Linked DNA regions of Oryza sativa Japonica Group. The protein of the gene in region 1 interacts with the protein of each later gene in a biochemical or structural test. Links are inferred from orthologs where the notes say so. Each region holds a gene or a part of one and is shown on either strand. Other genes may lie near its edges.

Evidence for each region.
Region 2: the proteins of protein GIGANTEA (region 1) and adagio-like protein 3 form a complex in vitro, tested with the Arabidopsis thaliana proteins (2 studies listed by BioGRID). The link is inferred for Oryza sativa Japonica Group from reciprocal best matches to the Arabidopsis thaliana genes GI and FKF1.

The regions. Positions count from the first base shown.
Region 1 is NC_089035.1:4,346,216-4,350,539, reverse strand, and holds the start of protein GIGANTEA, read left to right. Parts: upstream 1-1,459; 5' UTR 1,460-1,646; intron 1,647-3,183; 5' UTR 3,184-3,413; exon of another isoform or gene 3,414-3,490; 5' UTR 3,491-3,508; coding exon 3,509-3,595; intron 3,596-3,687; coding exon 3,688-3,765; intron 3,766-3,857; coding exon 3,858-3,912; intron 3,913-3,990; coding exon 3,991-4,133; intron 4,134-4,292; coding exon 4,293-4,324. UniProt on the Arabidopsis thaliana protein: Involved in regulation of circadian rhythm and photoperiodic flowering. May play a role in maintenance of circadian amplitude and period length. Is involved in phytochrome B signaling. Stabilizes ADO3 and the circadian photoreceptor ADO1/ZTL.
Region 2 is NC_089045.1:22,117,015-22,121,625, reverse strand, and holds the start of adagio-like protein 3, read left to right. Parts: upstream 1-1,661; 5' UTR 1,662-1,754; coding exon 1,755-2,059; intron 2,060-4,611. UniProt on the Arabidopsis thaliana protein: Component of an E3 ubiquitin ligase complex that plays a central role in blue light-dependent circadian cycles.

The DNA.
Region 1 (4,324 bases):
TTTTTCCAAATGGCTATTGTCCTATCACCACTATCCCTATTCTTGCAAGCTAAATGGATGGATATTTTTGGGATAACTGTTCGAGGGCACCAATGAATAAATTAAATTTTACAATGCTGAAAATGGGTTTTAAAATGGTATTTTTATAAAGTTCATATGCAAATTTTTTCATACAAATCACATTGTTTAGAAGCTCAAGGAACATGCAATCTCACTATCATTTAAGAGCAAGTACACTATTTAGATATAAACCAACTATAAACATATACGGAGGAAAGAAATAAAAGAAAACGTGTATTGTTGCCTCTCGAACAAGAGCCATCTCTACGTATACTCCAACATAGAAACATTGAGGTTGTGTTTCGGGAGGTGAGATTGGAAACTCACCTCCTACGCACGTAAAATGGAGTGACACATTTTCTTATGATTAATAAACCATTTACTATTTTTTTTAAAAAAATAGATTAATATGATTTTTTAAGCAATTTTGTATATAAAATTTTTGCAAAAAAACATACTGTTTTTAGCAGTTTAAAAAACGTACGCGTGAAAAACGAGGAAAGTGAGTTGAAAAATTCGGAGAAAGAACTCAGCCTAAATTTGTAGAGAGAGAAAGAGAGATGAGAGGAAAATAGAACTAACCTTGTATTTTGGGACGCATGGAATAGGAGCTTATAGCAACTTGTTGACTTTACTATTAAATTTGCTCTTATCACTTTAACCGTGTAGATCCAGTTTGAATACAGAGGCTAAATTTTATAGCCCCATCGTTTGGCCTAAACAGCCAAAGAATAAGCCAAAATTTGAATTTTTGAACTTGATTTTGAAGTTGATTTTGAAATGCTTTTAACGTAATTTTTGTTAATGTTGGCTTTTAAGTCGCTACGAACAAATCTACAAAAGTTTTACTTATAAATTAATTTTAATTTTCTAATAAGCCAAATAAGTCATTTTGGGTAAAATGACAACCGATGGGAGCCTTAGTCAACTCTCTAAAAAAAGTAATCATTCACTTGCAAAAGAAAATGGATATATACCTCCACTTTAACCGCTTACCATGATAGTACCTCAAAAATCATAGGGACCATTTCGCAATAATCTCACAACACAAGGACTAGAACCACAAAATCCATGTCATTGGCCATGGCCATGGGGGGTCATGCATGACGATCACCAAGCATACATACATACATACATACATGCCATGCACCCCCGAAAATATCAAGGCCATGTCAGCAATCGCCAGGAGGCGATCCGCCAAGCCAAGCAAAGCCTTCCCACCCCCCCGCCGCACTCACGAATAAGTATCTCACCCCGCAGCTACCCCACCCGCCTATCACCGACACGTGGGCCCCACATCACCCGCCCCCACGTGTCGGCGACCCGGAACCGCCGCGTGGGCCCCCACCCCACGCGCGCGCGCGGGTGGGAAATAGCGCGGCCACTACCACCACCACCACCACCATCCCCGGAAAAAATCTTTTTCTCGCCTCTCCTTCCTCCGAGCCGTTTCTCTCCCTCTCTCTCTCCTCCTCCTTCCCCTGCGCCTCCTCCACCGCCCGTGTCGCCGCCGCGCGCGTCTATCCCCTCGCCGCCGCCGCCGTCTACGCCGCGTGAGGTCCGGATTGGTTGAAAGGCTGATCGAGGTAATGCTTTTTTATTTTTCCCGTGCGGTTTTAGTTTTTCTGTGCTGTGCTTGGTGGTTTTTTCTTTAAAACTATTTTTAGGCTGGTTTTGATGATGGCCTTTCTAAGGTTGTCGTGTATGGGGGGCGAGGTGGTTCGGGTGGATTTGTGGTGTTATGTTGAGGGGATTTTTGTTTGGGGGGAGAGAGTTTTGGTGGTAGATGCGGTTGGGATTTTGAAGACGTGAAAGGGAAATTAGTTTTGAAATTTGACGGCGAGGTTGAGCTGATTAGTATTGTAATAATTCGTGGCATCGGATAGATCAACGCGAGATGGATGCTTATTACTGCGAATTTCAGGAGGTTTTTGTGGTTTTTTTAGGCGAGTAGCGTTGATTCTAGCTGGATTTTGCTGCTTCGTGGAGGCGTTTAGATGTGGTGCATACGGCTGTGGATGTAATTTGTGCGGGGATAATTACTGAAAATTAATTCGCAGTAAGCTAGCTCTGCTTTAATATTTTTTCCCCTGAAACAGTAACAAGGGATCCCTTCCTCATTTCGTTAACAGTGGAAGTGAATACAGACACCAACCGATGAGCAGAGACACCTGTAATTAAACACCAAAAGAAGAACCTGTTTTGTTCCTATATATTTTCCATTTCTATGCTTTAGGTAATATACTTTCTGGTTCGGTGTCATAGTACCCGAAATAGAATCTTTGCTTGCCAAAAAAAGAAAGAATAACAAGATAGAACAACATCATTAAATTCTGTCTTAGACAATACATTTATAATCGACCAACAAAAACAGACCGATGAGTGACGTGGAATAACAAATGAAGTATAAATGTCACGAAAAACACATCTATTGATTTTGTGTGATAAGCCATAGGAGCCTACGAGGAACCAAGTGAATGGTTCTGTACACCACATCCATTAGCATTACCATAAATTTGCCTATTTCTATGATGCCTTCCTTAACATATTTATCGACATGTGAGCTTGCACCATAACTAAATGTTATGGTAAACTTTACCTTATAAATGATTGCAACATGTACCTTTTCATTTCGATAATTAAAAACGAGAAAGCTTCCACCTTTTTCCTAGATATATTTTTTCGTTTGATTATGAATTTAGTTGTACTTGACAATAAAATAATGCGCTTGTAAGATTATGCAATTTTCGTTGCATTACCTCCCTCTCTTTTCATTTGTCAGTTTTTTTCTACTCCCTCCGTTTCATATTTTAAGTCGTTTGACTTTTTTCCTAGTCAGACTTTGTTAAGTTTGACAAAGTTTATAGTAAAATTTAGCAATATCTAAAATATTAAATTGGTTTCATCAAATCTAACATTGAATATATTTTGATAATATGTTTTTTTTGTGTTGAAAATACTTCTATATTTTTCTATAAACTTAGTCAAACTTGGAAGAAATTTCAGTAAGAAAAAAGTCAAACGGCTTATAATATGAAACGGAGGGAGTAAATTTTTTTTTGCATTAATTAAAATTCATGTATTTTCCTCCTTTTTTGGTTTTTGTTGTGCGATATATTACAGTGTAGAGACTCTGAAGCTCATATGGTTGGCATTGGTTGATATGATAACGTGTCACGTTGTGAGATGCAGACCCCCGTTATGGGGGTTGATTGAATGAAGTGGATAGCACTCTTATAACTTTCTTGCTCGAAGTTTCTTGATACCAAGGCAAGTAGCTTATAAGAAGATTTGGACTTTGGTGGCATAAATGGATGAACTAACTGGCGGCTTCAACGTGGTGTTGATTACAGGTGCTTTTATTGCTAACTGGAGCAGTTTGTGTAGTTTCTTTCTTTCTCTTTGAGAATTCTCTCAGTTTCTTGGGCAGGCTCTTGAGCTACCAAGTATGTCAGCTTCAAATGAGAAGTGGATTGATGGGCTCCAGTTCTCATCACTGTTCTGGCCCCCACCACAGGATTCACAACAAAAACAGGTAACATTATTCCTATTTGATTCTTGTTAGAAATTCTATATGTTGAACATACTTGCCTCAATGGGAAACTTGGTTGCGTCTCCTCTCTGAAGGCACAAATTCTGGCCTATGTTGAGTACTTTGGCCAGTTTACAGCTGACAGTGAGCAATTCCCTGAAGATATAGCTCAGGTACTGTATCTCTAAGCATGTTTAGTATCTTCTGTGATAAAATCTTTCTCCAGTGTGTTAACTTTTGCATTCTTTTTCTTGCATGCTTGCAGCTAATTCAAAGTTGCTATCCATCAAAAGAAAAGCGCCTTGTAGATGAAGTATTAGGTAATTTGATCCAGTGATCAATACATGTTCCACAAACAATTGAAGAAAGAGTTTGACATATTTTTCTCATATTTCCAGCAACTTTTGTTCTTCATCATCCTGAGCATGGCCATGCAGTTGTGCATCCGATTCTGTCACGCATCATAGATGGGACACTCAGTTATGATAGAAATGGTTTCCCGTTCATGTCCTTCATCTCTTTATTTAGCCATACTTCTGAGGTAAGGCCCCTACTCTAATGGTTAGTTCCAATTTATTGGTTCATTTCTCTGTGTTTGATAAGATTTTGCCTCTGCTGTGCATTTCAATATTATATCTAAACTGTGCTGCTTATAGCTTATCAAACTACTCTTGCTCATAAAGATGCAACTTTTATGCAGAAAGAGTACTCGGAGCAGTGGGCCTTGGCCTG
Region 2 (4,611 bases), on another chromosome or scaffold:
TCCAAAGTTTGGATGAGTAGCTTTCAGATTGGATGGCTGAGATATTCTGCATTAGTTCTGGCTGGAATGCGTACAGATGTATCTGCATGGAATCAGGATCAAAATGTTCCATCTTAAAAGAAACATCCACACAATAAACTTATATTCGATGAATCAAACTACGAAAATAAGTGTGCATGTTATAAACTTAATATTTAGGTATTGTGTTGTATTTTCGATGCTGAATTAGTCGTGTCCAATAAACGTCAATGAGAATACTTCTTTTATCACATTTTCTCTGCATGTGTAAAAAACATAATTGAGATTCAATCAAGTGGCATATAACCGCTAGCTACTTCTGGAATCTTTGGCTTAAACCGTTCAAATTTTCACTTAGATTCTAAAAATTTGTAGATATTAAATCATAAGCTAATAAATCTATTTTTTAATTCTAACTATTAGTTATCCACCATTTGCTTCGAAATTGCTTCCCAGAATTTCGAGCTTCCCAAACAAACCCTAAGTCTTTTATTTAGCGTACGCAATTATTAGATTCTACTATTTTTTTGAGGGGTAATTAAATGCTCTATGCAGTACTCTAGTACAAGAAGAAACCAAATTTTCACTAATCCCTCTAGAGCAAGTTCAATAGTAGACTATAAACCAACTATATACTTATGTAAAGGAGAGAGAACAAGGGAAACGATGAGTCCCAGCTCTTATGCAAGAGATAACTATACACATTCTCGTAAACAAATAAATTAATTACATATAGAGAGGAGAAGAACATAAGATACAACCTGGTAACTAACGGTCCCGTCATCGTTTGGCTTTTCCACTAATAAGCCAAAACAGTTTATTAGAGAATAAAAATAAATCTGTAGACAAAATTTTTATATATATGTTTTTTCTGACTTAAAAGCCAATGCTGAAAAAGAAACTACATTGAAAATATCTCAAAATTAAATTTAAAAATTTAAATTTTGACTTTTTCTTGACTAATTAGGCCATCCGATGGGAGCCTAATATATTATATATATGTTAACTCTTAGATTAATTTATAGATAGTGGTTTGCTCTACTTTTAGGCTCCGTTCGGTAGTATAAGTTCCCAACTCCTCCTCGTTTTCCACCCGCACGCTTTTCAAACTGCTAAACGGTGTATTTTTTTGTAGAAAGTTTTTATACAAAAGTTGCTTAAAAATCATATTAATCTATTTTTTTAAAAAAATAGCTAAAACTTAATTAATCACGCACTAAAACGCTGCTTCGTTCCCAACCCTCGCTTCCGATCAGAGCCTAAACTTGCTCTTAGATTTTTACACCCCTAATATCTGGTCTTTTCCTATAAAAAAAAGAGAGAGGTGGAGAGGGAAAGAACAAAAAAAATAATTACGCTAGTGAAGCTGACAATCTGAAGATACTCTCCCTTCCACTCCACGTCTCCACCTCTCTCACGAGTGGAAAAAGCAAAACAAGGTGCGCCGTTGGATGCTTCCCCCTCCCCCCCAAGTGGCCCCCATCCGTGCGCCGTCCTTTTGCCGCCCGCGCGGGCCCCACCCCCACCACCACCCCCCGCGAGATATTTTGGTGGCAGATCACGTAATTAACCCCCAACTCCCTGCCCCTTCTCCCCCACCCACCCCGCGCGGATATAAACCCCGCCGCGAAAATATCTCCCCCACCGTCTCATCCCAGCTCAGCTCAGCTCTGCCTCCGCCATTTCGAAGCACATCGAGGAGAGAGAAAGTTCTAGAGAGAGAGGAGAGAGGAGAGATGTTTGATGCGGGGGATCGCGGCGGAGGCGGCGGGGTGGTGGCGGTGAAGAGGATGAAGCTGTGCGAGGAGGAGGAGGAGGAGGAGGAGGGGATGGAGGTGGATGAGGAGGAGGAGGAGGTGGGGTGGGTGTGGAGGCCGCCGGGGGGGCTAGCGGGGGAGGATGAGGCGGCGGCGTGGGAGGGGAGGGCGGCGGCGATCGTGGTGTCGGACGCGGTGGAGGTGGATTTCCCGGTCATCTACGTCAACGCCGCCTTCGAGGCCGCCACGGGGTACCGCGCCGACGAGGTCCTCGGCCGCAACTGGTGAGCCCTCGTGCGCGCCCTGCTCTTAGCTGTTCCCCGATCGATGCCGCTCTGCTCTGATCTGGTGTGGTTGGATGGGGATGGCGAAATGCTGCTTGTTTTTTTTTTTTGGTGCTCTCGATTCGATTCCAGCTCGATATGTTGGCGAGATTGATGGTGGTTGTGGATGGCTGTGTTGTTGAATTTAATGAGCTTTTGCCGTGCAGTCAAACCTTGAGATTTTAATGCGCATTTGTTAGAATTAGGGGGTTCCTGTACAGGCGTACGGTGCAGAGTGCGCACCACTCTGTCTCTGCCTTAATGCTTGCAATTGCGGCGATGATGCGTGATTCCTGACTAGTTGCTGTAAATTTTAGCATTTTATCCTCACTTTTGATTGGTTGTTTTTTTTTTTTTTGAAATTTATAGATGGGTATCATGCCAGTATGAGATTTAGCCAGAATTTGAAGTGTACTGTTTCTGTTAGACCATCTGTATTTTAGAGCCAATCTCTGAGTAATGGTGACATTGTTGATTTTTAATCTACACATTAAGCACAGCACGAGCAAGCCAACAATCGAAGTAAATTGTAGATAATGTTGTTCAAGTACAGTAAAAGCCTGAAAGGTGCTTACGCGATCTAGTTTGGATATATTCATGTTATTGCTAAATTTATGAAATGGCTTTTGAAACAAATTTTGTGTATGGAAGTTCTATATCGCATATTTGCATTGGACCTTAGAGGCGAACAACGAAATGTTCATATATTCTTTCTGGCTCTGGGTCATTTTTGTTTTCTGGTGGGAAGAGGCTGGGCAAGCAAGGGTGATGGCTACCCGTTAGATATTTTCCCCTGATATATCTTCTCTTCTCTTGCTCTACTAAAGTAGCCACTTGCACATAGAAAAAGGGATGATGGAAGAATAAACTGTAGCATATATTGTGAATATAAAATGAGATGGGTAGGCCATTAATTGGAATATAGCACAGTTGTCTGTAGCATGTGGGTACAAAAATTTACAACAGGGAGCATCACGGTTTTAGCCAGGCCTTTTTATTTTTTACCACCGGGCTACCAATTAATACTTAGTAACTTTAGTCTTCCATTGGCATATATCATATTTAGTGGTCGCCTGCTAGTGCTCTAGGAGGATATATTATACTGGATTAGTAAGACTTTTTCCTCCTCTCTTGGATGGTACTGGAAAATAATTAACTATGAATGTATTCACATGACAAATTAACATTGAATTTGGACACCAACTGTGAAATTTGATCCGTATTAACAATATGGAAAGCTATTATTGGTGACAACCTTATAAGTGTACTACAGTACTACACCTGCAAGGGTTTTCAGTTGACAAGTAGCTGATTATGGTCAGTTTCAGAATTCGGAACTCAATTTTGAGCATAAATGGAAGTTCTGGATGTAATATGAAGATAAACTTTGAGAAATTTGACTTGGGTTGTAAATGTTTGAACTTGATTTTCGTGCTGTACTGCTTAAGGCTGTCTTCAGGAGGCAAGGTTTACCTCCTGACACGGAAAACAATGTAAGCGATTAGAGCGAGATTAGTTAAGTACTAGCCTAAAAAAAATTAAAAAATGGATTAATATGATTTTTTTTAAAGCAACTTTCCTATAGGAAAATTTTGCAAAGAACACACCGTTTAGCAGTTTGAAAAGCGTGCGCGCAGAAAACGAGAGATGTGAGTTGGGAAAGAAGGGGAAAGTCTTTTAGGGACTCATTCCGTAAATGTCGTTTTACCATTTTGTGGTGATTTGCTCTAATCGTCCACGTCGAATGGTAAATATTCTTGTGTGCAGTCTGCACAATTAGCCTCTCTTTTGTCAGATTATGAAAATTCTTGAAAAACAATTTATTGAATTGCTTACATGATGCAAGAACTTGTCTCTTATATTACATTTTGACATATCATGCCATCACAAACAATTCCAAACATATTAATTTTATTTCCAAAAGATTCATTGGATGAGTTTAGTTAAACCTGTGTTCCATCATAAGTACTCCCTCCTTCCCTAAATGTTTGACACGGTTGACTTTTTTAAACATGTTTGACCGTTCGTCTTATTCAAAAACTTTTGTGAAATGTGTAAAACTATATGTATACATAAAAGTATATTTAACAATAAATCAAATGATAGGAAAAGAATTAATAATTACTTAAATTTTTTGAATAAGACGAACGGTCAAACATTTTTAAAAAAGTCAACGGCGTCAAACATTTTGGGATGGAGGGAGTAGTTTGGACATTCAGCAATCAGCATAAGCTCTAGGCATTGGCTAACATAATTAAGTATTCAATGTAGGGTTTTTTTTTTTTTTTTGCATTTCGACTAAAGTCCAACAAAGCATAAAAAAAATAGCTGGACTAGTTTCTGCCTAATGTTTAGCAATGTTAGCAATTAGCACTAGGTTAACAGAATACATTTGAAACCAAACAAAAAGCCACATTCTTCTTCGTTGTCTGCGACAAAGCTAATAGACAAATGCATGTTCTCTATGCTTGAATTGCTGTTATTCTACTATCATTTTTCATTTATACGAGTTG